Linked DNA regions of Caenorhabditis elegans. The protein of the gene in region 1 purifies or fractionates together with the protein of each later gene. This does not show direct contact. Each region holds a gene or a part of one and is shown on either strand. Other genes may lie near its edges.

Region 1 (10,048 bases):
TTTTTCTGAAAAAAATCCTAATGTAGAATTTTCTAGTTGGAAATAAATTAAATTTCAAAAATTATGTTTTTTATAAATTTATATTTTTATCGGGGTACTGTAGTCTTTTTTTTCTGATTTTTCAATTTTATTTTCAAAAAACCTTACTGAATTCCTTTGCAAATTTGATTTTCCTCAGGAAACTTTTCATAAATCCATCCGGGTGCAAAAAGAGCAACTGACATGTGAAAAAGTTTTGCCAATGCAAATGACTGATCACAATGAAATTCTCCAACACAACCACGAGCCCATACATCAATTCCAACAAAGATCCGATCAAGAACTCCAAATTCAGCCGATCGAAGAAGTTCTTTATCTTTCCAGTTGTAGTTGAGATAGATGGCGTCACAAGCATCGTAGAATTTTCTTAAAAATATTAATATTTCAGTACAGTTCTAATATTCTAACCGATTCATCTCATTCAATTCATTTTGCCAATGCAACTTTCCATTATCAAGTACCGAATCATACCATATCACTTTCGAATTTTCATTCATTTTCTTTGACTTTTCAGTTAAACTCGAACAAAATTGAATCAACAAATCGATTTTTCCTGCATCAATTTTATTTTCAATATTAATCAACCATCCATCAAATCCAAAAAATCTCGCAACAGCCACCAGACAGTCCACTGTTTTTTCTACCGAACCCTCATTTTCCAAGATTTTCGAACAAATATCGTATCCTGGAATCCATTCCGTGATGAATGTTCCAAGTGAAAGAACACCTGAAATTGGGATACTTTGACTTAAAAACCAAGAAATGGACGGGCATGTTTTGTGTTATTTCGATTTTTAGATTTAATATTTTATACCATGTTTATGAGCAATTCGTGTATAATCTTCCGGTGGAATCGTCACAAAATGATGTGAAAAGTAGTTGAAAATGTCGATTTGCCACCAATTCAAGAACATGTACGGGTACCGGTCTTTTTCGAATTTCTTTCCTTCCGTAGACTCCTCTTCCAAATATCCACCACGCATATCGTGGCATACGAGGATTTGACGACCCGAATGTGGTCTGAAATTTTGCCATATAGTAGGGAAAATCCATGATTTTAGGTCTCAGCACGATCGAAGCTTTTGTCCTGTGACTGTGACTGTGACTATTGTTTATCAATAAAGTTATCAAAAAAAGTTTAAAACTAAGTAAAAACCAAATATTATGTAAGTCTACCATACTACTGGGTACTGTAGCTGAAAAAATTGGCTCGCGCCAAAACCATTTTTTTCGCATTCGGGCTAAAAATATTTAACACTATTCTTATTGCCAGGTAGAAAATTAATTTTCTTTCTGAAATTTCATAAAAATTACTTAAAGTTAACCAGTTGCTCACTGTATTGCTCGCCAACATCTTCTCGTGATTTCCAACTCCAGAGCTCTTCGAGTGTGTCAATTGGAGAAATCGTCATCTAATTATAAATAGAATTGTAAGTCAAGATCAAGAGGCTCTGCGATATTTCAATTGATTTCAACTTTACCCTTAGCATTTCACGAAAGGAAAAACTTGAAGTTTATATCACAAAACAAATCACATATAAATTAAAATTCAAACAGATAACGATATAGCACAATTTCCAGATCCCGCAAACGAGTTGAAATTCATAAATTACTAATTTAAAAAAGGAAAATTTAATTTAAAGTTCTTTTCTGTCAATTTCATCATCTGGAATATCAGAAAGATCCATTGGTTCTTCTGGAGCAGCAGGTAGAGGTGCCACATCGACAGCAGTGCAAGCACCCATTTCTCCTTGGCAGAACTGTTTGACGGGATCCTGATGGGCGGTCTTCAGGAAACCAAGAAGCTCATCTTCGTGAGAGTCAATGAAGTCGTTGCACTAAAATTTAGAAATTTAAATTAAAAAATCAAGACTGAAGTTTTCTGCAAAAAACTGAAAAAGTTCTTAATTCTCATTAGGGATTGTTTTCTAATAATAACTAGAGTTTGGAATCCCGTGCTTGAACTTACAGCGTTTTGAAGATTATATCTCATTTTGGGAGACTCATCTCCTTTCAAATGTGTGGCGTCGTTGTGAACGTAGACTGATTTTCCAGTAATTGTATTCACCTGAAGAGAAATTTGTAAAAATCTATACAATTTATGGTTCTTACCACAAGTTTATAGTGTTTCGCATCATCACAAGCGTGCTCAATGATTTCTGTCAAATGAGATTCTGAACGAGCATAGCCGATTTCCTTGAGCCCTTTTTGATCTCCAGTTGGTGAAACTCGGAAACTTCCAACTTCGATTTTCTTTTTCGGGTCGACTGCGGCGATTTTCAGCTCGAAATGGGTTACGAGGAGGGAGCAGGCTGAAATTTTCAATATTTAAAAATATATTTTAGAAAAATCTATCAACCTCCACACTCTAATGAAGAAACCGATGCAGATTGAATACCCGACAGTGATATGAGACAAACCAGTGTAGAAACAAAATGCATTCTGAATAAATGGTTAAAAAGCGTCGATAATGACCAAGTGAAGCGGAGAGAGAGAGAGAGCAAACAATGATTGGGAGAGTGGCAGAAAGAAAAGAAAAAGAACGGTGTTTGGATAGGTATCCAGTGTTTGTGTAAATGGTACTTTTCTTCACGAATAAAACATGAATATTATTCATTAAAGTTGATTGGAAACAACGTATTCAAGAGATCGAAAATTGATAAGTTAAACATTTTTTCAATTGGGAACCGGTCGACGTACACGTGGAATAATGTCGCAGAGCCGTTGTCTGGAAATTTAATTTTAATACTATTCAGATATGAACTCTGAAATCTCGTCTCAAAGATATGTTACCCGGCCTCGTCACGTACAATTTTTTCAAAAGTAGTACTGTAGTGAAAAACTAAAGAACGCTCCGCAACAGCGAGCAGCAATGAAATTTTATTTTTGGTATTTTTCGAAAAAAAGGGAGCGAAAATAGAGAAAAATTCTGTTATCCTGTCGGTAACTGAAAATATAATTGATTTTCAAATTTTACGCTTTTTCCAAAAAAAAATTACACTTATAACTGAATGCAAATTTTAAGGATTTTAAAATCGAAATTATTTTTTAAACTTACTCAAACTGCGTTCGCTTCTTCATATTCGCTTCGGAAGGCAGATCGTGTTCTCTTTTCAAAAATCCTTCATAATCTTTCCATGTAACACAAGAAGTTCCTTGTTCTCGACCACGCAACGGGCTCAACAGAATGCCCGTGTTCAGGCAAAACGGCATCTCTCGGAGCTCATTTCTGAAATTTAATTCAATGTATTTTCAAGGATTCAGGCACTTACAAGCAATCTGTAATTGCATCTCGAAAGAATCTCGTCAATGGATCCTTCAATCGACAAGCTTCTTCATATCGTTGAACACGCATTGATTCATCTTCTCCAAGTGAAATTGATAGTGGTGTCATTGGATCGAGCTGATCGTATGGGATGTTTGCATCGCTAATTCCTGTCAAATCGAGCAGAAACTCTGGAAAAAACAATAAAAATTGATTATTGGCAAGGGTATCATTGAAATTTTTTATGGATTTTTTTTCTGAGAAAATCAAAAAAAAAGTTTAGCAATTTTACAACAAAAAAATGTTTTGTTTAAATCAAATTAGGCTTATACTGTTATCAATCAATATTATTAAGGAAAAACATATAATTGCCATCTAAAAAGGAAAAAAGGTCAACATTTAAAACTATTTTTTGAAAAAACGAAAATTGTTTCCAAATATTGGAAAAAGCCCATGGATTCTCTTTTTTTATTTAAAACTTACGAGTAATAGTTGAAACAATGGCGGATGGTAAGTTAAGAATGGCTCTTCTTTGACTATTTCCAGCTCTTCTTAAAGTATATCTCCAGATCATGCATCTCGGACGGCACGCAACACAAAAATATGCTTTTATAAACTGCTTGGTTTTGTTGAGAAGTTTTGCGTTTCTGCGGAACGTCAGCAAACTGAACACATATTGAAGATCGGCATTCTAAAATTTGGCATTTTTTCATAGAAGCTGAAACAAAAAAAAACTCACAGAGAATACACCTGTTGCTCGAATATTGTAAGAAGTTTGTTGGCAATGCGAGAGATTCATTAGACTTAAATCGATTTTATCGAATTTTGACTCTGAATTTGTGTTGGTCGTCTGTCCTACAATTGTTCCTCTCAGGTCTTTAATGTTTGACTTTAGCGCATTTAGCTGAAAAATCAAAAAATGGAATTTTGAATTCCGGGCTATCAGAATTCTGACCATAATAGACGTTCCAAGCATTGCAAACCTTCCATCAGCCGCCGATGGATTCACCATACCTTCTACCAGCGATTCCATAGAAATATCTCCGAGAAATGTGGCTTCAGATATTCCGCAACGGATGGTTCTCTCCAATGAAGCTTCATTGAGCGTTTTATCCGATGTCGACACCATCACACGTGTTCCAAGCTCGATTATATCGATTTTCTCTGAGGCAATGTTTTGCTCAATTTTTTCTGAAACAATAATTGAACTTTTAATATTTTATTGATAATTTTTTTACCCATTCGATGGATTTTTTTCATTCTTTGAGTCGTCTTAAAATCTTTAATATCTTCTTTTGCATCATTATAAGAATCATATTTTTCTCCGCCCATATAGTCCTCTACATCGACTACGTCTTCCATTTCCATCATCTCATCTTCGTATGAGCCGTGTTCAGAGCTTTTGAAAGCAAACGGAATTACTATAAAGAACATTTTTTAATTTTTGAATAAAATTATTATTTTTAAACTTACTTCTATTTGAGTTATTCATATTTTTGTGGTAAATTTCTTGAAAAAAAATAATAAAAGGAAAATAGAGAATAGAGACAAACCGAGAGAGACCAGAGAAACGTTGTCCGAGAGGAGTGCACGGCCGAGAAAAGTCCAACACCTTTTTGCGCGCTAAATTTGAATTTAATTTGCCGCACAAAAATTTTCCTCCCTTTCCAGCCGCAAAATAGAATTTTCTTGAAGTTTCACATTTCCACACGAGAAAGCTAATAAAAATAATTATGTTTATAAACAATCAAGCAATTTTTGTCCTATGCAAGTATGCATGAACCGAAAACAGCGTTGGTGTTTTTATAAAACAACATATTTACAAACTCTAGGATAGAAAAATGAAAAGAATATGACATGATTCGCTAAAAAACAATTAATATCATTGAAAAACGCAAGGCAAATGAACAAAAAAGCAGACGTGAAAATTCTAAAAAGTCTACCATAAACTTTTGCGCGCCGAGACCCATCTGAAAAATACATATGTATATAATTCATGAAAATTCCAATATTTTAATTGTCTATTATATTGCTATGTTCATGTGTTTTGAGCCTCTTCTATGCTCTCCAGAGCTCTCTGTTCGCCACATGTGTTGTGTAATTCGAAACAGCCGTCACTTTTCCTCTGTTTTTCATTTTTTGAGTGTGTGATGCTGCTTGCTCTGCCTTCTGAACTTTGCCATCATGCATTTTCGAAAGAGATAAAAAATCTTGAAAGTTGAGCATGAAGCACCCAATTGTCTCTGGTGACACTTTTCACCTCATTTTCAAATCTCTTGCGTCATTCAGCTCGAGCCATTCGTCTTTCGATTTGACCCGGTTATTTTGTACAATTTTTAGTAGAAAAAATTAGTTTTTTGGGTCCTGACACGAGCTAAAAATTTTAGTATACAGTATCTGTAAGTATTCAACCAGTTCCCACAATTTTTTGAAAACTTGTTAGAAAAACTTAAATTACTGAGAAGTCTTATTATATATCAGGAAATATGAAAACTGTCAAATAGGAAACAACTTTCTGTAAGAAGAATGAAATTCTACAGTACTCGCGGGTACTGTAGCTGAAATATTTCGCTTGCTCTAGAACCCTGATCGTCAATTAAAAAAAATTGGCTAACTCGGCAATATTTGAGAATTATTAAGTTAATCGGAAATTTCAGAAATTGAAAATTTTCAGACATTTTTTTTAAATCAATAATCACGAAATGAACGATGATAAACTACGGAGCCTATTTGCATCTCTTGCAACTCTCACACAACAAGGACCAATTCCAGGTGAGCTATTTAAGAAAATTCGAAATCGTTCTTTGTATGTAGAATCAGGCAAATGTGCCTGCTCACGCCTTGATCCCGTTATTTAGTGAAAAGTGATGTGGATCGTCGCGGGACCCACAATTTTAAAAATTCGAGTTTCAGTGCAAGCCTACAGTATGCTTGCTGGTCAACATTCTACAGAAGTTCTCGCCGAACACATGAGGCTCCGATGGCTTTCGGATGGACGCTTTGGACCAGTTGCTGCAAATATACTAATGCACATCCATAAGGTAGTTCTGTACTACGGTAACCTCAAAAACCACAAATTAAAATTCCAGTCCGATCCAAAAGACATTTCATTATCCTCAAATGTGTTGGCTCTACTACTCAACGACTACCGTAACCGGCTTTCAGTTCGAAACGATTCTCGACTTATGTTCAGGAATTGTGTGAAGACACTTTTTTCGTAAGCAATTTCCAATTTTTTTTTTCGAAAGAAACTATCGTTTTATTCCAATTTTCGAATGTTTCTTGTAGTCAGACACGCAATTTTGATATCATATGATATATCATGTTGAGGTATTGTTGAATGAGAAAGGGTGTGTGCCTTTAAAGAGTACTTTAGTTTCAAAAACTCAACACTGCAGAGCTCTGATGAATTTTTATTGATTTTTCATAGTTTCCCGAAAAAAATATGTGTATTTATTAAAAACTCAAAATAAAAAAAATAGAAATACATAAATACATTTTAACAAATCGTGAGGAAAACTATTTAAGATTTTGAAACTACAGTACTCTTTAAAGGCGCACACCTCTTTTTAGTTAACATAAGCTTGTCGTGGCGAAACCAGGGACCTTATTTTTCTCACATGAATCGTAAGTATTTGCTTGCAAAGAATATAGAAAAAAAACGCGAGAACTGGAATTTTCCAACAGTAAAATTAGTAGTTGAAATTCGATGAATTCATATTGAAATATCCGTTCAGAATGTATCCAGTATATGTGAAAATGGACGAATGTGTGTCAAAATGCTTCATAAAACCAATGTTCTCATCTTTGGATGCACTTATTGATGATGCTCCAGATACCGAAGATCTAGAGGTTTCCACAGAAACATTTTTCTGAAAAATCTAGAATTTTTTAATTTCAGACAGCCGGGATACTTCTCAGCGAGAATGGTCGCGTTCTTCACGATTTGAATTCATATCTCGTCGAACGAATCATTGTAAAATTGCGTCATAAACTTATCAGTGAAGATCCAATTGTCACTAAACATGTCCGTCAAATATTCATTCATGTGAGGAAGATCAGAGAATGATCAATTGATTATTTGATTTTAGGTGTATGATCTTTGGGCATTTGGATGGAGTGAGCTGAATATTCCTGAATGTCTTCTCACTTTGAGTGCAGAAGGGAAGCTATCGATTGTTGATCAGACACCACTTCGGAAGAATGATATCAGCAAGCAAGAGTTCGGAAGCAAAGAGAGCATTGTTTGAATATATTGAAGTAGATCCTTAATATTCCCACTTTTGGTGATTTTTAGTTTTCGGGTTTCATAAAATATAAAATTTCGGTGAAATAAAACTTCATTTCGGGGTCAGTGAAATTATACAATCTTGGGGACGAGGTTGCGAAAAATCTATTCACAGGAAGTTATGCGTCATCGCTTAATAGGAATGCTTGGCAACGAAGAGAGACTCGGCGGCGGCTCCAGCTGCGTCTTCTCCGGCGTACTTTCCGAGAGATGCATCTCCATTGGCCTTGGAACGGTGAAGGAGTGTCTTCTGAGCGGCAGCGATGTTCTCGTCTTTTCCGCCCCATGCCTTGAGCACAGAAGCTTGAAGAGCACGTCCATAAGAGAAGGTGAGCTTCCATGGCTTTCCGAGTTGAACCTGTAAATAGAAATGAGTGATATAAGGTTATTCCATTTCGTTTAAATTTACCGAGTTAATAGCATTGAGGTTAGCAGTGGCATCAAGTTCGGATTGCCCTCCAGACAGGAAAGTGATTCCTGGAACTGCAGCTGGAACTCCGCGTCTCAAGGCGGTTACGGTAGCCAATCCAATTGCCTCGTGTGAAGCTTTCGACGCGCTCGATTGTCCTGGAGTAACCATGTTTGGCTTGAGAAGAGTTCCTTCGAGATACACGTGATGATCAGCAAGAGCCTTGTACACAAAGGCAAGAACTTGCTCAGTAACCTTCTGGGCACGAGCCAAATCATGTTCTCCGTCGCAGAGAACCTCTGGCTCGACAATTGGAACAAGTCCGTTGGCCTGGCAGATAGAAGCGTATCTGGCTAGCACATTGGCGTTCTCGAGCATTCCGAGGTGAGATGGGGTGTGAGTTCCGATGTTGAGAACACAACGCCATTTGGCGAATCCACATCCTCCCTTCTTGAAAGCAGCGGCACGTTCGGCAAGCTTGTCGAGCCCCTGGGTGGTTCCCTCTCCAATGGTTCCAGCCAATGGGACAACTCCGAGATCGAGCTTGATTCCTGGGACGATTCCTTGCTTGATGAGAAGATCGGTGAACTTCTCTCCCTTATCGGTGCTTTGATGGAATGTCTCCTCGTAGAGAATCACTCCGGAGATGTGCTGGTTGAGATTTGGAGTAGTGAACAGGAGTTGACGATACTTCTGACGATTTGTCTCGTTGTTTTCGAGGTTGATGGCATCAAGACGCTTTCCGATTGTGCCTGCAAATTGATCGGGTCACGATGTGCTGCATTATAAAAAAGAAGAAATCGGTCTTCCCCAATATCATTTCTACATGTTATCTTTCTTTCTATCTACAATTTTATCTATCACTCGCACTATCAATGCATCAACATCTCCAATTTCAACAACATAAACATCGAAAATTGGAGGCGATAGAGGGCACAGAATATGATCGCTAGACCGTGAAAATTTATTTTTTGAACTTCTGAACATAAGTCGCTAATTCTTATTGAATAGAAAAATTGTCAAAAGATGATTGTGAGAAGATAAGAATCTCGATTTTCTAGTTCTAGAAGAATTTTTCCAATAGCTCACCAGTGGATTCATCGGCGGCGAGGATTCCCTTTCCATCTTGAACAATTTTGAGAGCGATTTGGTGAAGCTCGTCTTTTTGAGCCTAGAAATACAACAATTAAACTAAGAAGGGCATTACAAAATGATGAATGATCAACAAACCTGGGTAAGAGAGTCCTTGAAAGCGCCTCCGACAGTTGCCATCGTGAAAAATAGAAGTGATGCGAAATGAAATGGACGGTCGAGAAAATGGGGAGGCGGAGAGTGTAGAGAATCAGTACAGTCGCCGAGAGTGTGCGCAAAAACGGGAGACGGCGAACGGGCGGCGCCAAATATTGTTGGCGCGCAGAGAACTGAAACGTGATATTCTTGTACTACTTTAGGATGATCGAAAAATTCCGAGATAGAAAGTTTTGAGGCCTATTTTTAAAGAGTATGTCAATTCGGCAAATTAATCTATAGATAAAGTAGATAAATCCCTTAAAAAAACTACACAAAAATTTTTTTTTAATTAATAAAATTGTGCACAATTTTTTAAAAACAATTTTTCACAATTGTGCAGGAATTATTTTCTTAAGTTTTCGGCTGTTTTCTTATAGAAAAAACCGAAAAATTTGGAAATGAAAAAATGAATCCTAAAATTGAATTTAAATGTGCGGTATTGTCGTTGTTAGTCGTTGGCTTGCGCTGCGAGACCCATTTGCGAAAGTACGCCTCTCTTTAAAAGTATAATTAATTCTGATGTTTTTTCTTTAGAATTTCAGTCTTAAAACTGAAGAGTTGAAGTGATAAGAATTAAAAACACCTCACTCAGAGTATTCGTTGTACAGATCAATGATAACTTTTATTATCGTGGCGTGAGAAATGGGCAGACAGAGACTGTTCTCGAAAGCATCCGAAATTCACCAAAAACTTTCATCTTTCGGGGAACCCGGAGAACGAATCAAATGAGAAGGATAGTCACGTGGATTTGAATCAT
Region 2 (10,231 bases), on another chromosome or scaffold:
AAATTTTTGCGCCAAGAATTCTTCATCAGTCATTTCAAGAAATGTGCAGACGTGAGTTTAACTTCGACTAAGCTTTTGAAAAAAATCAAAGACAAGGTTTCAGACATGTTCGAAGATGAAGCACTTCATCGCCAGTTGAAAGACAAAAAATTTGATGTAGTTCTATCCGAAACATTCGATTTCTGCGGACTGTGTAAGTGGTGCTTTATAAGTTCAACTAAAAGATCACATGTGTTTATAGATCTGGCAGATTATCTGGAAATGCCTGCAATCATATCAGTTTTCACTGGAAATCGATTAAATGCAATTACCAATGCACTAGGAGAACCGTCATTCTTGCACTATTTACCATGTAAGATTTGAAAACAAAATACTATAGCTATATCTAGAAATATGAAGAACTCTTCAGCTCCCTCTTCGTCATTCAATGCAAATATGTCACTTTATGATAGATTCAACAATTTTTGGCACAAAATACTCTCATCCTCAACATTTGGGGAACTCTTCGATCGACAGTACGCTGATGTGTACCGTCTAACAAATGGAAAAGCAAGACATTGGAAACAAATTCTCAACGATGTCACTTATCACTTTTCCAACTCTAATCCATATCTCGATTTTGTTATTCCAACTATCGCAAAAGTAATTCCGATTGGTGGCTACACAATGGACTACAAACAAGTTCCGCCTGTATCAAAAGTGAGTTAATTTACAAAATAATCAGTTTCATTGTCTTTTAATATCAGGATCTTGATACCATTCTCAATTTGAGATCTTCAACAGTATTCATTTCCTATGGAACAATGATTTCTGCAAAATATATGCCAGATGAATACAAGCAATCGATGATTGATTTTTTCAAGGATAACAAGAATGTAACCTTTTTATGGAAATATGAAGAACCAGAAGAGAAATTTATAAAAGAAAATATTCCGGATAATGTCCATCTTTCCACTTGGTTTCCTCAACAGTCTCTCCTAGGTCGGTCATTTGAAATAATGTTTTTGACGTTAAAAAATTTGTAGCTGATAAAAGAGTAAAACTATTTATAACACACGGAGGACTGGGAAGTACAATGGAACTAGCATACTCTGCGAAACCAGCAATCGTGGTATGATAGTTTTAATGAACTTTGAAAATTAGGACAACATTTGAATTAAGACTCCACTTTTTGCGGACCAACCCAGCAATGCACAAATGCTTGAAAGGCATGGGAGTGTTGAAGTACTTTCTAAGCATGATATTCCAAATTGGAAAAAACAGAGCGATCTACTAAAAACAATGTTGGCTGATAAAAAGTTAGTTTTGGAATTATATGTATTTTTAGTTTCCAAATTTTGAACTGTTTATAGATATCAAGAAGCAGCAACTCGTTTAGCTGATATACTAAACAATCAACCAATAAGCCCTCGAGAATTAATGTTAAAGCATGCTGAAAATGCAGCACGTTTTGGTAAAATTCCATCATTGACGCCTTTTGCAAAAGATATGGGATTCATCGAATTCTACAATATTGACTTGATTATCTACTCTGTTTCGTTCACTCTTTTCGCAATTTACGTAACAATCGAAATATTTGGAATTGTTAAAAATTGCTGCAAAACTCGAAAACTGAAAAATGAATAAATGTGATGTTTCTGCCGGATCGAATATTTGTTTTATATCATAAAGGGCATTTTCAATGCTTGGTGCCTTAACTAATTTTGAAGTTTTTACATAGTTATACTTCTTGATAACTTCACAGTTGAGTTCGCTTCAGTTCAATCAGTCTGACGTTTTCATGCAAAAAGTAAAAACTACAAGAAACACAAATTTGTTCAAATGTCTTCTGAATTCAACTATCGAGCATTTTCTGTCACTTCAGTTGGATTTATTGCTTCAATTTTTATTGTGGTTCTCAATATTCGACTTCTATGGAAATTTCAAAACTCTCTCATGAAAAACAAACCTGAATATCACTTATTCAAAATTAGATTCATAGTTGATATATGTTATTCTTTGACAGGTACAGTTTCATTGAAATTTAAGAAAAGTTACATGTAAAGAACAAAGTTTATATTTTTATTTGGTAGAACACCACAGTTTCTTAGCACAACATTTTATCCTTTTTGCAACCTGCTGGATACATTAGTTGAAAAATTCCATCGGAAAAAGATTTTCAAAAAAAAAGATTACATTGCAGTTAGTATATACTACTTTTCATTAATTGTGTCTTATATCTCTCCTTTCATTCTTTTCCAATATAAATCACTGTTTATTGCAACGTTATTATCCTCAAACGTTGTCTCAACCAGGTTTTTCTTGGGAGCTTTAATTTCAATTGAGCGGCTCATTGCTGTATTTTTACCTGTCAAATTCCATAATAATCGACAGAAAATATCAATTTTCACATTTTTTATTATGTTAGTATTGTGGGGAATGCTGGAAGATGTTATGTATTTTTGGGTTTGCAATATTTCTCCATTTGAAAAAACTTGCTCAATTTTGGGGTGCACTTGGAATGATTGTTTTTTGCAATACTGGACTGGAAACAAACTTGTATCAGTTTTAAAATTTTTCTCGTAATTTTAGTTTTTATTTTTCAAGTGTTCAGATAATTGGTTTATTTACATGCATGAGTTCTTTGATTCTATTCGTAAAACTTTTATCACTGAAAAAAGCAATGAATCTGAATAATGATCTGTCAAAAGTTAGTAATATCAGTGTTTGCTCTATTTCTATAATTAGTATAATTTCATTTTTCAGACGAATTACTTATGCATCGGCGACGCGTGCCTAACTCTTATATTTGACTTTTCACCTTTTCTGGTGACACTCATTTTCAAAACTCAACTTTTGTCAGCAGACGTGAGTTATTCTAATAAGAAACATAAAATAGTTCAAGCATGTTTGTGTGATTTGATGAAGAATGAGTAACGCTTTGATGGAAGCTATCAAGATTTCAAAATGATCGAGAGTATTTTATCATATTTCAGATCTATGGGCCATACAATGCTACTGCGAAAAGTCTTGCATGTTTTATTGATGCTGTAATTGCAGCTATCGTGTTGAAAATACCATCAAAAATAAATTCTATAAAGAGTGTAAATCCGCGTAGTGGAATCACTTCCGACCGACATGGATCAAGCCGAACTCAATTTTAAATCATTCCTTTGTGGATGTGGATAAATTACTGAAAATTGTAATGCATACTTAATATTTTTGGTATCTGAGGATAAACAAGAAAAATTGGTAAACCGTAAAAAAATATTTAAACCGGTTCAAAATTTGAAAATCCACCCAAATTCTATGCTTCCTATGTACATATGAATGTATATATTTTTATTTTTGCGTTAACATAATATTTCTGCTACAAAATGCACGGATGTTCTTTATACGGGTGTCCATATACAGAACTACAGAACATAACATGTCAAATTTTCGCCAATGATTTTGAAGTTTCCGAAAATTGCCGAAAATGACAACTGAGAACCCGGAAAAACTTTCAACTGTTGCTTGGAAATGGTAGTACTGGAAACTGCGTTGTGTCCATCATTTTGATAATGGAGTAATTTTTTGTGAGATTATACTACATTTTTCCAAACTTCATCATATTAATCATCACTAAGAATCTCAGTACATATAATTGGTTTTCGGTTTCTAATCTGATTAGGAAGTTTTTGTGCACATCAGTGATCTTACAGTTCAGTTCACTTCGATCTCCTCGTTTTGCTTTCTCTGAGCGGAAATTTGGCATACTTCATAAGACTGACAAGTTTCTAGTCTTTGGCATTTTTTTTTCTCTTCTAATGTCTTACGAATTCAAACACAAGGCATTTTCGGTCAGCTCGGCAGGAATCACAGCGTCGATATTTGTTGTGGTTTTGAACATTAGACTTCTGTGGAAGTTTCAAAACTCTCCAATTAGGAAGAAACCGGAATATCATTTATACCAAATACGATTTTTTGTTGATATATGTTATTCAATCGCAGGTAATGTTTAATAGATTTTGGAAAATGCAATAAATTCTCACCCAGTGGGTGTCGCAGGCATAAAATTAATTCCTCTTTAAATCTATGTCTGATAGTATAGAGGCTCATATGATCAGGATAGTGCAAACCCTCAAAATGTCGAAAACGAAAAATCTTACATGGTTACAGTTAGTATATACTATGTTGCCTTGGATATATCTTACCTCTCTCCATTCTTTCTATTTCACTACAAGATATTGTTTGTCGTGACATTATTATCCTCAAACATCCTGTCCACCAGATTTTTCCTAGCTGCTCTGATTTCGATAGAAAGATTAATTGCAGTATTTTTGCCTGTTCAGTTTCATAATAATCGTCAAAAACTACCTGTTTTTATATTTTTCACTATGTTACTTTTATGGGGAATGTTTGAAGACGTTATGTATTTTTGGATCTGTGATATTTCTCCATTCATAAAAGATTGCTCAGTTCTGGGATGCACTTATAATGATTGCTTTTTGCAATACTGGACTGGTAGTAAATTGGTGTGAGTTTTAATTGTATTTATTTTCAATTAATACTTTTCAGGTAATTGGAGGATTCACTTGCTTAAGCTCTTTGGTTCTCTTTTTCAAACTTTTGGCATTGAAAAAAACCATGAATATTGTCAATTTATCAAAGGTAGGCAAATTTAGCCTTTAGTAATTAATACTTTTTTCAGACAAATTACTTATGTATTGGTGATTCATGTTTGACTCTTCTATTTGACTTTACGCCATTTCTTTTGACGCTTGTTCTCAGAACACAACTTTATTCTGCAGACGTAAGTGGAATTATTTTGAAAACTGTTTTGCTCAAACATTTTTTACAAAAGGCTTTGAAATTATTAGGTTTAAATAATTTGAGAAGTTTATAAACATTATAGTAATGACTTAGAAGAGCTGATAAATTATAATTTCAGATCTATGGGCCTTACAATGCTACTGCAAAAAGTACTGCATGCTTTATCGATGCCATGATTGCAACTTGGGTCTTGAAAAAACCATTAAAACCAACTCAAATTAGACAAATAAATTCACTGAAAAGAATTTCCGACCGACATGGATCTAGTAGAACATAACTTATAAATTTTAATTGTCAGATCATTTTCCCTCTTCTCTTGTTTTACTTCCCTTACGCGAAAAGCTTGCTAAACGATTCTTGTAAGCGAGATAGTACGAGACGCAAGCACAAAAGAAGGACACTATGCGATAGATACTGCTGTTGCCGTGTTGGCCTTCGATCAGTGTAAGAAAATAGAAAACGCAGTCGTAGACGCATTTGTAACCGCTCATCCACTTAGACTAATTCCACTCCCCAAAAACATTTATTTCTATTACTAAAAATCAAATGAAGTTTTTATATCGAACCACTTGTTTCCTGATTATTGTATTTTCATCGACAGTTTTTGCAAACGATAAGAGCTGGAAGGTATATTATTTAACAAATTGGAATTTTTCATTTAGCTTGACTTCGTGAAATATATCATAAAAACAATTGGAAGTACAGTTTCCAAACTATAAACGATATTAGGAAATTTAAAAAAAAACCACTTCTTCTTGAACAAACTATTCAATCGTTCAGGAAGATGACGGATTAGAAATAACGATAACATCGTCAATAGATGAGAGCGAATGCGAGATCAAATCCGCAGGTGGCGATGTAGTTGATCAGTACTACAAGTTGACAGATGAGAAGGGAGTTGAAATTGGAAGCAATTTTGGAAAGAAACCATATACATTCACGTTGGGAAGGAATCAAGTGATACCTGGAATGGATAGAGCTATGCGAGGAATGTGTATTGGAGAGATTCGAAAAGTTGTGATTCCCCCGAAACTAGGATTTGCGAAGTAAGCAAGGGATTATATTATTATTAGTTTCCTAAGGATAATTTGTTCCTGAGAAGTTTGATCATTGAAACCATACATGAAGTTTTTTTTTATAATTACAGAGACTCGACTGGTCAGCCACTCTATTACACTGTCCAGCTGGTGAACCTGTTCCGTGCGAATCCTGGGGAGAGATGGGTCACTGAAGAAGGAATTCAAATTGATCAGATTCACAAGATTGAAGCAGACAAATGTAAAAAAGCTGAAGCTGGCGACAAGATTTATCAGCAATATGTTTTGAGATTAGAAGATAACACACTTGTGGACTCATCTTATTCAAGAAATGCTCCGTTTGTATTTAGATTGAGAAACAGAGTAAGTTTTTTCAGTTATTAAAAAACCAACCGCATATAGGTAAATGAAATTTAATGAGAAAAAAAATCATCACAGATTTTTTTTGACACTCAATTTAATAAAATAAAATTTCTCTCCCGGCCACTTTTTGCCCAATTTACCAAACCTTGGACGAAAGTTTGTTTGAAGTTGGGCCAGATTTTGGATTTGTATTTTGAGTTAGAGTATTCGAAGTTTTGTCAGATTTTGGCAAAAATTGGTTTAAACATTTTTAAAACTTTGGTTTACTCTTTGAGTACCTATTAGAAGTTGATGTATGTAATATATGGTGTATGTAAATCCCGAGAATGTACGTTTTCATTTTTAATCTCATAACTGTCTGATGAAAATGTGGTTTGAGCTAGGTGTTATGTGGTTTATAAAAATTAAAGAAACTGGTTGTTACATTGGTTAATGAAATCTTATTTCACCTGTCATGTGAAATTTACAATTTTTTTACGTAGGGAGCAAATTACAAAACCCAATGAAAATTATGCTTAATTCTTTGTTTGAATTTTTTTATTAATATTATTCTTGTTTATTTGATCTTCAAAATTGAAATATTCTGATGATCTAGAAAAAAAAACATGAAAATATATATATCATGAAATTTTGGCGCAATATTATATGATCGGAAAAATTTTTTGTGGCAAAGTACATAATACAATATAATTTTAGGAAGTTATCGATGGAATGGATATTGCAATGGATGGAATGTGTGAAGGAGAACGACGTCGTGTTGTGATTCCATCTGAATATGGATACGGATCCCAAGGATCCCCACCAGAGATTCCCGGTGGTGCTCGTCTTTTCTTCGAAATTGTTCTAGAAAAGCTTGTTAAAAGAGATGAACTTTAGAGTGATTTCAGATGTTTTTTGTTTGATTAATTATTGAAAAGGACTTCCTGTTTCCGTTGAACGTTCTCTGTTAATGTTACATATGTACGTGTTTGTGCCATAAAAATTTCTTGATTTCTCGTAGATTTTTTCAAAAAACCAGCTGCAACGATTATCCGAAGCAAGCTTCTGTAGCCATCGGCTCTCATAAAGTCGGAGAGCAGCTGAAATTGAATTGAAAGACCAACCAACATCACTTCGTCATAAGTTTTCAGAAAGTGGGGAGTGTCGGCTGACTACTGCCAGTGTTAACCTACAATTTTCTTTTGATTTGTAATTGAGCTACAAAATTGTTAGAAAGACATTTAAATTTGAAGCTGTCGGTGCGAAATTTTCATTTTCATGTCAGAAGAGATATTGGTAACAATGCCCCATTCAACAGTGTGTAAGTTTTTTTTAATAAAGTGACATTTTTTCCTGCACGTTCCGGGAACTTGTGAATTTGACGTTCAAATTTAAATCATAAAATGTAGCGAAAATGTTTATTGGTGTACCTTTAAAGAACGTAACTCGCCTTGAAAGTGCTCATGTTGTACTAAAGAAGTTAATCTTGTCACAATTAAAAACTGTTACAGTAAAATAGGTATAGGTATCTGTTGAGAAATATGATGCCGTTCCCGTAAAGAATCAGGTGAATTTTTTGCGTTGAGTCATTTACTGTAAACAGTTTTTTTTTCAACTGAAGCAAACCACGCATCAAAATGTTTTATTGTTTCAGGTAACCCTACAATATTTTCATTATTTCTTGATGGAGCACTTCGCAAAATGAGTATGACTGAAAATATAATGTACATAATAATTGTATTGATTGCATCAATTGCAACAATTCTATGTCTTTTGATAGTTGGTAGATCAAACACATTTCATCCAAATCTTCAAGGACCTATATGGTTTACAGCATTTGTTTATTTTGATTTGACCATAAGCAAAATGTTGACAATCGTATTCCAAACTACTTATTTGGTAGAACAAAGTACATACTAAATTATTTTGAAATATTAAAGTCTTAAACTTTTTTACAGATGTCCCCGAGGGTGGTATGACTATGATATTGTGGACTGCAGCTACTCATTATCATTTTTTATTTACTGTTATGGCAGCTCCAATTGTTATTGTAGTTGAGAGAAGTCTCGCGACATATTTCGTTTTGTGAGTTTTAAACATTTGAAAACATATAATTTGTCTGATTGAAGTGTTTCTAGTATACACTTTTCAATTTACTGTCCAAATCAATTTTCGAAATTTTTGAAATGTGTTTTTGGAATAAAATTATAATTTTCAGTGATTATGAGAAGAAAAAACGTCGATACATTCTCGTACTACTTTTATTATTCCAAAACTTTTTTGGTGCAACTTTTACTCTTTTGACAGTCAACAATATTCTTCGATATATTTCTGCAGCTGTTTTAGCAGGGATTATTGCAATTTCTTCATTTTTGGTATGTCATTTTGACTCACCAAATGTTTAATTATGTTACTTTCAGACGTTTTTATACAATTGTAGAATTAACAAGCGAACTTTGCATTTTGTTGAAACTCGGAATAGAGACATAAAATTTGATTTGAGCGTCAGATATCAGCTGCGCGAAAACGTCAAAACATTTAAGGTTTGCTTTTGCATTTTTTGGAATTTGGTTTTGATATGAATGATTTCAGATGTTGAACTTTTTACTGCTAATGCTCACTGGAATGATTGTTCTTTTGGCCATTCTCAAAACAATTCCAATGATTATAGGTGTTGAGGAGAAAACAAAATACATGTTCAAAATGAGTACAGATATGATTGTGCACGCGTGAGTCTACAATGAATCATTAATTCAAGTGTTCTTTCATTTTTCAGAGGTCCAATTTATGTTACGATAACTCTTATATGTGCTGTGGAAGATTATCGAATCATTTTCTACCGATTTTTGGGATATGAAAAGAAAAAAGTGGATCCGTGCAAAATTAATTCAAAACAAACGGAAAGAGATATTTATTTTGAACAGTTTTTGAAAGTTCTGAAATAAATATTTCCAACCTGGTGTTGCTTCTTAAAATTAAAACCACAAATTCAACGTTTTTAATTTTTTAATATTGAAAAAATGCGTGGAGCATTGTCATTTGTTGAATTCTTCAAATTTCCTGAAGATACGATCTTCATAACTCATAATTATTCCAAACGTAATAAAATAAAATAAATTCATCCGGGCAACTGATAATTGATGAGATGAAAAAGAGACGAAACAATATTGATAATAGTTTTGGCGAAAAACACATGTAAATGAATAAGGAAAATAGAAAATTCTAATAAATAATCTACCGTGTGAAAGTTTCTGTAGTGATGATATAAGTGAAAAGGCAGTTTAGTTCACATTTGCAGCCATCGTTGCTTTTTGGGATTCCATTATCGATCGAGGTGTAGCGCTGAGCAAGAATTCGACGCGGAATCTTTCTCGAGCACCAAGCTGGCGATTCGGTTCTCGAATCATTTGGCGAAGCTAAAATTTTAATAATTTGAAAATTAACATATTCATTTTAAAACTAACCAAAGTATCTACACAATCGGCACGTGCAGTATCAATCCATATCTTCACATCTTGCTCATTTTTGAAATGTTCACCACCGGACCATAATGCCAATTCCATTACATTTTTGGCTTTTGTTAAACTATTTGATTTATCTTCTTGAAGGAGAACGGCACAAGCTGACAATGCCCTTGAGAATCGTGATCTAGAACTTTTTCATTTAAAAAAATATTCAAATTGAGTATTACCGTAATTGGATTGGAGGTGCTTTTCCATCCATTTTGTGGTGAAGTAATGTACAAAGTGCTCGCAGAGCATAACGGCAAAGGCCGACTAGTTCATCGCCGCCGCTTTCAATTTCTGCTCCAAGTGTTTCCTATAATTAGAATTTTAAGAGTTAGTTTTACGTAAACGTTTACAAACCGGCAGGAACAAAAGTCTTGGGAACTCATTATATGAAGAATTTACATTTGGATATCGGTATGCTAATAAGAATTCTTTGAAATTTGTGCTCAGCGACTCCACGCCTTCTCCTTGTAACATTTTCAGAGCTTGAAGAACTTGAAGAAGAATGAAACTGACAAGCTCTTCATGATTTGTTCTATCCATTCTTTG
Region 3 (10,737 bases), on another chromosome or scaffold:
CTGGCTCATCGACAACGAATCCTCGGCGATTTCGTCAACTAAAAATTGGGGAAAAATGAGTATAAAACAGAGAATTTGGGGGGTTAGTTTGTGAGGGTTTTAGCAGTTACGTGGCCTAGAAAATGCAAAAAATCGGCCAGTCATATTTTTTGTTGATTTGCCAGAAAATGGAAAATTTTTCAATTTTTTCAAAAAAGAAAAATGTTTTAAAAAAATATATTTTTCGAAAAATCGTTTGTTCCAATTGAAAATAGGTGGCCGAGTTTTTGGTATTTCACGGCCACGTAGTGTAGTTTGTAGTCTACCCCATCTCCTGCTCACCTTCAATCGGTGATGGTGGATGTGCAGTACTAATTTCTAGAAGCTTCTGACAGACAGTGTAGAGTTGGAGAAGATCCGATTGATCACAAGATGATAGTAGATTCTTGTTCGAAACTCCTTCTAATACAGTTTCCAGGAGACGTGGCAAATGTTGTGTTCGAATTGTTGGATCACTTTCCACGTTGCACATTTCTAGGCACACTGAGACAACCTGCAATGCAAATTGGTAGAACATTTATTTAAGTTTTGCCAAAAAAAAGTTTGTTTTTCTCTGAAATTTTTTTGGCAAAAATATACATTTTTCGTATTTTTTTTTTCGGAAGAAAACATGTTTTTGTTAAAAAAAAACGAATATTTTTGTCAAAAATTTTTTTCTAGAAATTTTAGAAAATTTTTGTGGATTTCTTTGTCAAAAATGTTTTTTTTTTCGATTTTTTGGACTTTTTTTTTGGTTTAAGGACTTTTTTGTCAAAAATATACACTTTTTACGTGGTTTTGGTTTTTTTAAAATTCTTTTGGAAATTTTTGGCAAAAATTAAAAAAAAAATTTTTTTTTTGGCTTTTTTGGATATACATTTTTCCGTTTTTGTTTTGTGAAAAAACGTTTTTTTTTTGAATTTTTTTGGAAATTGTTTGGAAATGTTCTGCTAAAAGTATATTTTTAAAAAATTGTTTGGCAATTTTTGTGGCTTTTTTTGAAATTTTTTGGCAGAAATATATTTTCTAATTTTTTTGAATTTTTTGTCAATAAAAAAATATCAGAAAATTTTTAACCTGCGAAAAATCATGAATCTGTCGTTCAAATTCGTTATTCTCAACAATCCGTCGATACCAATCACCAAGAAATGTCCACAAGAAACCGGGTTCCAGTGAATTTAAGAGCATATTGAAAGTTTTCGATAACTCATCGATTCTCCGTGCTTGGACCAAATCCTCTTCGTCTGGTGGCGGAGCTGGAAATATGGAGGGGGAAAATGTAGTTTCGAAAATGAAAAAAATCATTAAAAATAAATATAAATTCTATAAATTTTGTAACAATTAAATTTGGTATAACGGAAACACCGAATTCTGCGAATGCGTTTTGCACAACATATTTGACGCGCAAAATATCTCGTAGCGAAAACTACAGTAATTCTTTAAATGGGTACTGTAGCGCTGGTGTCGATTTACGGGCTCGATCTTTGAAATCCAATTTCATATTATTTTACTGATAAATGATTTGAATTAATTTCCAAAATCGAGCCCGTAAATCGACACAAGCGCTACAGTACCCATTTAAAGAATTACTGTAGTTTTCGCTACGAGATATCTTGCGCGTCAAATATGTTGTGCAATACGCATTCTCAGAATTCGGTGTTTCCGTAATAACAAATTTAATTGTTAGAAACTTTATAGAATTTTTATTCATTTTTAATGATTTTTTTCAATTTCGAAACCACATTTTCCCCCTCCATATATTTTTGCGCGTCAAATATGCTGTGCAATAGAAACTACAGAGAATTTCAATTTTAATCACAATTTTCAGCAGCAAAAACCCACCAGAACTGGCATTTGCTGCTGCTGATGACGTCACAGAAGTGACATCATCATCCTTATTGGACGTAGAGCACACCGAATTCAAATCAAGATAAAGACCCTCTCGATCTCCGGGTTTTCGCGGATTTTTCAGACTTTGCTGTATCTTTCTGGGGCTCTTTTTCAGTGAGGAGCTGTTGCTGCTCGAATGAAATTCTGCAGATTTTTTCAAAAAATCCGCAAAAACTGTTTCCAAAATCGTCCTTCCAATATCGGCTCGATCCTGTAGGTAGAGCAGAAGCCGACATACTCGAACCTCCGCGAATTGGACCTGCTCCGCTTCTTTTCGATCTCCCCACATTGAATTTTGATGATTTGCAAAGGGAGTTTCGATAGTGTCAAGAGCAAGATATTCACCAAGAGCTCCGTGTACAAGGCCGAGCACTCGTTCCTTGAAAAATGTGAGCTCAATTCCGTCATCGGGTCCGCCGAGTGAGAGGCCTGGAAATTTTGGATTTTTTTTTCGATTTTTAGAAGAAAATCTTAAAATTTGGAGCATCTTTATTATTTTTCAGTATCTTTTTTTTTTCGATTTTTTAAATTAAAAAATCGGAAAAAAAAATCGATTTTTCAAAAAATATCCATAAATTTCGGCCTTTTTCTTATTTTTTAAAAAGAAAATTTAAGTTTTTTTATCGAAATTAACGAAATTCGATAAAAATTCAAATGTAGTTTGTAGTCTGCCTAGAGCTCATTTTGGCTCCGCGGCTTGATAATTTCGTAGTCTGTAGCTTCTGTGCTAGAAAAATTATAATTTTCCTTAAATATTTACAACAAAAAATCGTCAAAATATGTTTTTTTTTAATCAATTGTATGAGAAAGGCACTTTTTTCCGAAATTTTCAAAAAAAAAATCGATTTTCCAATATTAAAAAATGCAATTTTCAGGAAACTTGGGGTCATTTTCAGATTTTTTTTAGAAAAAAATTATTTAGAGACTACAAACTACATATTTTTTTGGGAAGCTTTACAGGTTTTCATCCTAAAAATCTCCATTTTCAACCAATTTTTTTGCTAGAAATTGGGATTTTTTTTTCAAAAAATAGCTTAAAATTTTGTAGTTTGTAGTTTGTACCTGAGACACCTTTCGTCTCTCCACTTCGATTAATAAGCCACGTATAAAGACGTCGATTCAATGACATATCTCTCCGAAGCACTACAAAAAGACATCTTCGGAGAAGTTGAACAAAATCTTCATTCGTCAGATTAGTACTATCCAATGGAAATGCGGCGACTAGGAAATCCAAAAGATACCGTTGAACAAGTGGAGAACCTGTATCATCGGCTACTGCACACAGGGCGGCTACCTGCAATAGTTTTACACGTTAATTTTGCACTTTTTTTGGACAAATTTTGTACAAAATTTGCACATTTTTTGAGAAAAATTTGGCTAATTTTTTGCAGTTTTTGGGAAAATTTTGCAAATTTTTGCACAATTTCGTCTAGTTTCGCAATTTGGCGCCAAAAAACACGGTACCAGGTCTCGACACGACAACTTTTTTTTTTTTTGAAAAATGCGAAAAGGAGTGTGTGCGCCTTTAAAGAGCACTGTAACTTCCGACTTTTGTTGCTCTTTTTCGAAAAAGATATATGTATCTATTGAAAAATAGCTAAAAATTCCACAGAAACGAACATTTGAAATTACAGTACTTTTTAAAGGCGCACACCTTTTTGCAGTTAACAAAATTGTCGTGTCGAGACCTGTTACCATAGTTTTGGCGCAAAAATCGCAAAATTTCGCTTCAAGGGTAACACTCCGCCGTACCATATGATTAACATGATCTCCAACCAAATGAATCTGATCATCGAGGCTCTTTAATTTGTCGAATTTCGCGTTCACGTAGATCATGGCGGGTAATCGAACGGGCGGTGAGCCGAGAATTGCCTGCCAGAGGCACGCGTAGAAGGCCCGTGGGCCTACTTTTTCGCAGACTCGATCCAGAAGAATGAAGGATCTGAAAAGAATCTTGATAGACTACAAACTACAACAAATTTGCACAGACTTTTCTCATTTTTTGGGGTTTTTGTGGTATTTTGACATTAAAAAAAGATTTTTTAAATATTTTTTTTTTCAAAAAATAATGGCAATTCCACAAAACTCTCCTCCGTTGCATCATATTATTTCAACATTTTCCATTAAAAATTAATGTAAAAATATAGAAAATCACTTGATTTATCTGAAAATCGTGTTATTTTCAGCTGAAAAATTAGAGAAAATGCTCAAAAATGCCTGAAAGTTGCCAATTTTTTTAGCGGAAATTTTCAACTTTCAGGCCATTTTTGAGCACTTTCTCTAATTTTTTAGCTGAAGATAATATGATTTTCAGTTAAATTAAGTGGTTTTCTATATTTTAACACTAATTTTTAATGGAAAATTTTGGAATAACATGGTGCAATGGAGAGTTTTGTGGAATTGCCGAATTTTTTAATTGTTTTTTTTTCTTGCAACCCAAATAATTCCTGGTAAGTGCAGTTTTTTTGTAGTTTGTACTCTTTAACCTCACCAAAATTGGTTGAGGCTCAGAATTTTTTTTAGTTTATAGTTTGTAGTTTGTAGTTTGTAGTCTTCTCTCTCTCTCTCTCTCTTTCTCTCTTACCTCTCATAAAACTCTGTTCCCTCCTCCAACGCCAACAAAACTCCACCCAAGAATCCGGGCAATGCGGGCCGTAAATTTGCTCCAAGTGGTACCAAATAGTTCTCAAATATTGTGAATAGCTCGGATTTAACCTTAATTCCACAGTGATCCATTAGAGGGAATAGGCCGACAGCGAATAGATATAGACATTCGGGAAGCTTATTCGGCCCGAGAATTTCAAAGATTTGACGATACGTTTCGAGGGCTTTTAGGTGGACACCTGCAAAGTTTGTAGTTTGTAGTCTGACAGATTTTGGAAAATATTCAAATTAAATGTTTGAAAAGCGAATTTTTGTGCAAATTATTGACTTTTTGTGTCAATTTTCAGTTTTTTTTTCCATATTTTAATGACATTTTTCTTAAAAAACCTTACCCATAGGGAGTGCTGGATGAAGGCATTGTGACAGACGTTTCGCGACGGTTACCCGATTTGGTATCGCACAGAATTTAGCGTTTGATTGGAATACCTGAATAGATTTTTTTTTAAAAATTTATTGCTATAATTTCTTTGCTAGGAACATGCATTTTAAAATATGAAATTAAAAAAAACAAATTCCATAGCGTAATTTATAATTCTGTTTTATATGAAAACATTCAATAGTTCCATTTTTATTGTTTTAAATATCAAATATTATGAAAATTTACTGATTAAAAATACTAACGTTTAAAATTTTAAATATAACTGTTAGAATAAATTAACATTGTTAAAAACTTGAATAAACATCGAATTTTTCATTTTAATACTGTTATGTCTTGAATAAAGTTTTAAAAATCTGATATTTGATTTCAATAAAATAGGATAATTTATCCTGTAAACATCAAATATTAAATTTTTAAAAACTTTATTCGAGAAATAACAGTATTAAATTGAAAAATGCGATGTTTATTCAATATTCAATATTGTAACAGTGTTAATTCATTGTAACAGTTACATTTAGAATTTTAAATGTTAGTATTTTTAATCAGAATATTTCCATAATATTTGATATTTAAAACAATAAAAATGGAACTAAAATGTTAGAAGTTGTGCAAATATTGAATTTTTAAATAAAAATTATAGTAAAAATTTAGTATTTTAGGCTGCAAATAGCATGTATATTTCACTAAAATGTTAATAAATTTTTTGAATTTCTAGAAATTTCTTCCAACTAACAAAACCCACTTTAGCCAATTTTCCGAGTGCCGAAATGAGATCAGCCCATTCATTGGGTGTTTCGAATGTTTTCAACGCCTGATCGATGGCTTTTGCGTATGCACGATATTTACTATCTTTTTCTCGACCCGCTGGTACATCTCCACCTGATGCTGATGCCATTTCTTATTTCTTTCTGCAATTTTTCTTTGAATTTGAGCAGAAAGTTGAGAAATGTTACGGAAAATGGGGAAAAATGGGGGAAAGAGCGTGAAAAAAAAACGAATTTAAAGGCTATTTTGAGTTGAAAAGTGTTATAATATTGTAGTTTGCAGTCCGAAATAACTTGATTTATCTGAAAATCTCATTAATTTCAGTTGAAAAAATAGAGAAAATGCTCAAAAATGAATATCAGAAATTACAGGTGTTTTCTAACCAAAAAATTGATTTTAGAAGTTTTTAAAACCCAAAAAATCCCCACGTTTCATGAAAAAATCGACGATTTAATGGGGTTATTCATGCAGAAATTTGAAATTCTAAATTTCCGCATTGCATGAATAACCTCGAAAATCGGAACAACTAATTTTTGCAAGTTATTCACTATTTAAAAGATCTTCCCGATATATTTTGAATTCCCTATTGCACCATGTTATTCCAACAGTTTTCATCAAAAATCAGTGTCAAAATATAGAAAATCACTTGATTTATCCGAAAATCACATTATTTTCAGTGAAAAAATAGAGAAAATGCTCAAAAATGGCCTGAAAGCTGCCAATTTATTTATCGACAATTGGCAACTTTCAGACCATTTTTGAGCATTTTCTCTAGATTTTCAGCTGAAGATAATGTGATTTTCCATATTTTGACACTAATTTTTAATGAAAAATGTTGAAATAACATGGTGCAATAGACCAAAAATAGTTTTAAAAAAAAGAGGGTTTTACATGTTTTTCGAGTTAATTTTATTTAAAAAATATATACATTTAGGTTAATTTTCGAACTACAAACTACAATATTATAACACATTTACCCTAAAATTGCCTTCATTTTCAGGAAAAAAATAGCTAGATTGGCTCAATTTTCGGCCTTTTTGCACTAAAAGGCTATTAAAACCAAAATTGGAGCTCAGACTACAAACTACAAACCCCTGTGAGCATTTAATGGGGTTTGAAACATTTTTCGAGTTAATTCCAACCAAAAAATGGTTTTTTACGATTTGAAATTGGAATTTTTTAGATAATCAAATGTTGAGTTACTTATTAACTAATTTATAGAAGGATTCCGACTACAAACTACAGAAAATTTCCGGATTTAAGCCAAAAATCAATATTTTAATAAATAATATTTCGCAAGATACCGGTCACTTGATCAAAAAAACTCGAAAAATTGCAAATTTTCCAGAAAAAAACCCAGAAAAATGATGACGTGGTAAGTTCAATGGAGCGGCTGGTGGGAAAATTGAATGAAAAATCGGGGAAAAATTGGAATAAATATGAATGTATATGTATTGAAGAATCGTCGCCGGTGTCCCCTGAACACAAGGGCGCGGCACTGCAGTGTGTATTGATGAGAAACAGAGACGACGAGATAGTGTACGGAATGAGAGAGACGCAGACACTGTGCGTGTCAAGTGACGAGACACAATACGAATCGCTAGAGACGCAGGCTGTTAAAGACTGCAGTGTGTGCAGGTGGAAACAATCCACTCGTTTTTTGGCGCGTGGATTGAAAAGGGGAATCTGAATTCGTGTAGTTTGTAGTGTGAGCCATTCGCACTACAAACTACAAAAGTGTCGAAAAATCTCAAAAAATTTGCGAAAAAAATTGGATTTTTTCCTTTTTTACAGCGAATTATGGGGGTTTTTTTTCTGAAAATCGGTGATTTTTTCAGTTATTTTTTTAAACTTTTTTAACGAAAAAACAGGGATTTTGATAGTTTTAGGCGGAAAATTGTATAATTTTCACTAGTATTTACTTTTTAGTTCAAGCAGACACTACAAACTACACAAATCTGGCTCTTTTCTAGGAAAAAACTGATTTCCGAGTTTTTTAGGCATACAAATTTGAAAAGTGGAATTAAAAAGTGGAAAGTACTACAAAATACACAATATTGCAGCATGAAAACCGGAAAAGACACTTTTTTCCACGGAAAAATGCCGAAAATCGACATTTTTCGGGCAAAAGACTGGAAATCTTTTTTTTTGCGAAAAAAAATAAAATTCTGAATTTTTCCCATAGAATTTACAGATTTTAAACAATTTCTCAATGCCAATTAACCCTACAAAAGATGAAAATGCAAAATTCACGTCATCTCAGCACTTTCTCTTTTTCACTTTCTGGACAACAAACACTTGAGACGGGCGGAGCGCACGCATTCTATTTATAAATGCTCAGGATTCTGATGTTTAACACTTTTACTCTCTAATACAAACGTTTTCAAGCGGAAAATGCAGGAAAATCGGTTAAAAATGAGGAAAGATGGACGAAAAATCGGACGAAAATTAAATTAAAAAAATCAATAAACTATGCGCGTCGAGTCTGGCGCATTGTACGCATCCACGTACAATGCGCACAGTGGCACTGTCTACCGTACTCCACATCTTTTTTCAATAAAAAATTGTCGAAAAGACCTTGAAAATCGTGGCGGAAAAGTCGAAAAAGAAGCAAAAAGGGCAATAAAATGATCGAAGACGCATAAAAATTTGGGTGTCCCTGGCCTGGCGCCCACAAAGTTCCCCCACAAAGGGAAACGAATGTGATGTTCCCACATCAGTTTTCCCAATTTTCCATTTTCTTTTCTCAGTTTTTCTGCACATATTTGATTTTCAAGCTGGAAAATAGAGTGAATTACTTAAAAACAGTTTATTCGATTCGAAATTAACATTGAAAATGGAAATTCATGTAAAATGATAAACGTCCGTTAAAATTCCAAAATTCTAAAATTCCACGATGCACCATGTCAGAAGCTCAAATTTTTGTAGTTTGTAGTCAGCAAGCCTCGTTGCGGTCAGTTTTCAGGTGTTTGAGGCTGAAGTGTTGTAGTTTGTAGTAGGTTTTCTGGGATTTTTGTGTGAAAATATTCGAAATCTAGTGTTGTAGTGGCCAAGCGAATTTTGGTTGAGATTGTTTGGCCACACTACAAACTACACAAAAGATATCGATTTTAGAAAAAAATTATATAAGCTTGTCTAGACACAGCTGTAGTTTGTAGTCTCCTAACCTCAACCAAAAATTTGAACAAGTACCGCCCATTTTTATCACCATTCTTGCATTCCGATTTTTAACGACAATGCCTACATTTTCAGAGTGACATGTGTGAGTGTGATTTTTGTTAGCTTTTCCTATTTGTAAACGCGTTAAAATAATTTTAGAGAAATTTAGAAAATTCTGGAATAAAATTATCCGAACAAGCTTGTATTTAAATAACAAAGAATATCTCACAAAACAGTGGAAAATTTCTTCTTTCGAATAATATTTTTAAAATTTAGGTGCATTGTTGGGTTTCAACGTTAAATGCCCCTAAAAACCTTATTTTTCGCAAAAAAAAAACCATCAAAAAGTTCCAATAAATTCACACGACATTCCAAATTCGACAAACGTTTTATTTTTTTATTCGTATGTTTATGTGATGTATTCACTCAACTTGATGATAAACTTGCGGAGAAATGAAATTTAAAAAACATGTTTATAGTATTATCAGGTGGTGACGGGAACCACACATGTGTTTTTTTTAATGTTAAGGTTTTTGGAACTTTTAGGTTTGACATTATATTTACTAACATCTGTACCTGTATTAGATTTTTGTACAACAATGGTTTTTTTTGAACGTGGTGTCAGAGTGTTTGATCTACAAAGATCTACAAAAAATGCGGGATCTACAAGATCTACAAAAAGAGACGTAGAGTTTTCAACTGATTTTGCATGGTTAAAAGCGTGCTGACGTCAAATTGTTTCGCTGCAAAAAATTCCCGCATTTTTTGTAGATCATACCGTCATAGGACAGCCTAGCACCACTGTAGTTTGTAAAATATATTTTTCAGGAAACAGCGAATTTAGCAAGTGAAAAATTTCAAAGAAAAGTCGGCAAACTCTCGATTTTCCAAATTTTCAGCAATTTAACTCTCCGAGCGGCAATTGCCTTTCACTCCTGAAAAAAGATATATTTAACTAATTTGTATATTCTACTCAGTATCCCGTCCTCTTATATTTTGAATTAGGTTACTGTAGATTACCGTACTATGCTCAGTTGTGCCAATTGCCACCAATTCCTGCAATTCCTCAATTTGAAAACAACGTCCATCTAGTTTCCCGCCATGCGCTTCTCATATTTCTCCCCGCCTTGCTAATCAAATTCTTGCATCTCTTTTGACTTTGTTCACCTCTGTTGAAACTGGTTTTTTATGTTCACGAGTTTAAGGTTTAACCTCCCCTTGCTACTCTGAAAATGACAGTTTCATTCACACTTTTTTTGTCGAGAATTTTATGCACTTGGGTTAGCGGCAATGTTCAATAGTTTGAATTTTGACGTCTTGTACCGAGATGTTCACAAAAAATTCAATTGATGTGCATTCGTATCTCGCTAAAGTAAATAAATACCAAATAAATTAATTTATTAATACTGCATTGACCAGCCGTGTCTTGTACAATTTTAGATACGTTATTCAATTTTGAAAGGTGAAATATACGTTTTAAAGTTCAAATTAGTCTTGCATATAAAACTAGCCACATCATTTAGTTTTAAAATTTTTAAAGAATTATAAGCCACTTTTGCCCCAAGGGTTTCACGCTAGCCTCCACTTTACTATCATTAAAATATATGAATATTTGACATTCCTGTCAACTGTACTTTATAGAAAATTTAGTTATTTTGCACCAAGTGGGTTTAACGAGTACTTTGGTCATGTTCACTTCTGCTCGCAAGGAATTATCATGGGTCTTGTGTGTTACGCAGTAAAGTAATAGATGATAACAAATAACCATTTTAAAAGTACTTTCTTCTTATATTGAGTTTGGAGCGTTTAGTTTATAGTCTGAGCCAGCTGCTCTAGACTTATTTCCAATAATATTGACAACG

What was found.
Region 2: the proteins of F01F1.11 (region 1) and fkb-4 fractionate together in Caenorhabditis elegans (co-fractionation; one large-scale study listed by BioGRID). This does not show direct contact.
Region 3: the proteins of F01F1.11 (region 1) and pad-1 fractionate together in Caenorhabditis elegans (co-fractionation; one large-scale study listed by BioGRID). This does not show direct contact.

What each region holds. Positions count from the first base shown.
Region 1 is NC_003281.10:5,867,049-5,877,096, forward strand, and holds F01F1.11 (PAP-associated domain-containing protein), read right to left. Parts: upstream 4,830-10,048; 5' UTR 4,797-4,829; coding exon 4,778-4,796; intron 4,726-4,777; coding exon 4,543-4,725; intron 4,496-4,542; coding exon 4,260-4,495; intron 4,209-4,259; coding exon 4,044-4,208; intron 3,996-4,043; coding exon 3,788-3,995; intron 3,496-3,787; coding exon 3,312-3,495; intron 3,269-3,311; coding exon 3,098-3,268; intron 2,768-3,097; coding exon 2,716-2,767; 3' UTR 2,637-2,715; downstream 1-2,636. Other genes in the region: eng-1 (mannosyl-glycoprotein endo-beta-N-acetylglucosaminidase), read right to left, coding at 148-405, 448-766, 854-1,059, 1,354-1,451; F01F1.15 (DUF3456 domain-containing protein), read right to left, coding at 1,677-1,877, 2,009-2,107, 2,152-2,351, 2,399-2,480; F01F1.3 (MIF4G domain-containing protein), read left to right, coding at 6,007-6,076, 6,218-6,345, 6,394-6,521, 7,042-7,156, 7,206-7,352, 7,396-7,554; aldo-2 (Fructose-bisphosphate aldolase 2), read right to left, coding at 7,726-7,950, 8,002-8,753, 9,091-9,172, 9,232-9,273; mig-21 (Abnormal cell migration protein 21), read right to left, coding at 9,972-10,048.
Region 2 is NC_003283.11:12,782,109-12,792,339, reverse strand, and holds fkb-4 (peptidylprolyl isomerase), read left to right. Parts: upstream 1-5,213; 5' UTR 5,214-5,340; coding exon 5,341-5,421; intron 5,422-5,574; coding exon 5,575-5,840; intron 5,841-5,941; coding exon 5,942-6,194; intron 6,195-6,890; coding exon 6,891-7,070; 3' UTR 7,071-7,187; downstream 7,188-10,231. Other genes in the region: ugt-5 (UDP-glucuronosyltransferase), read left to right, coding at 1-51, 104-193, 242-352, 410-699, 747-981, 1,026-1,111, 1,162-1,298, 1,353-1,626; srbc-43 (Serpentine Receptor, class BC (Class B-like)), read left to right, coding at 1,822-2,005, 2,183-2,538, 2,594-2,689, 2,746-2,847, 2,976-3,143; srbc-44 (Serpentine Receptor, class BC (Class B-like)), read left to right, coding at 3,789-3,972, 4,141-4,496, 4,540-4,632, 4,673-4,774, 4,913-5,071; sre-20 (Serpentine Receptor, class E (Epsilon)), read left to right, coding at 7,476-7,494, 7,828-8,082, 8,132-8,258, 8,392-8,548, 8,594-8,716, 8,766-8,902, 8,950-9,118; ZC455.1 (LIM domain protein), read right to left, coding at 9,455-9,589, 9,638-9,821, 9,865-9,992, 10,040-10,231.
Region 3 is NC_003279.8:12,873,761-12,884,497, reverse strand, and holds the start of pad-1 (Protein pad-1), read right to left. Parts: upstream 5,860-10,737; 5' UTR 5,847-5,859; coding exon 5,694-5,846; intron 4,999-5,693; coding exon 4,905-4,998; intron 4,752-4,904; coding exon 4,493-4,751; intron 3,851-4,492; coding exon 3,661-3,850; intron 3,203-3,660; coding exon 2,971-3,202; intron 2,338-2,970; coding exon 1,861-2,337; intron 1,275-1,860; coding exon 1,096-1,274; intron 533-1,095; coding exon 322-532; intron 39-321; coding exon 1-38. UniProt on the Caenorhabditis elegans protein: May be involved in protein traffic between late Golgi and early endosomes. Essential for cell patterning during gastrulation.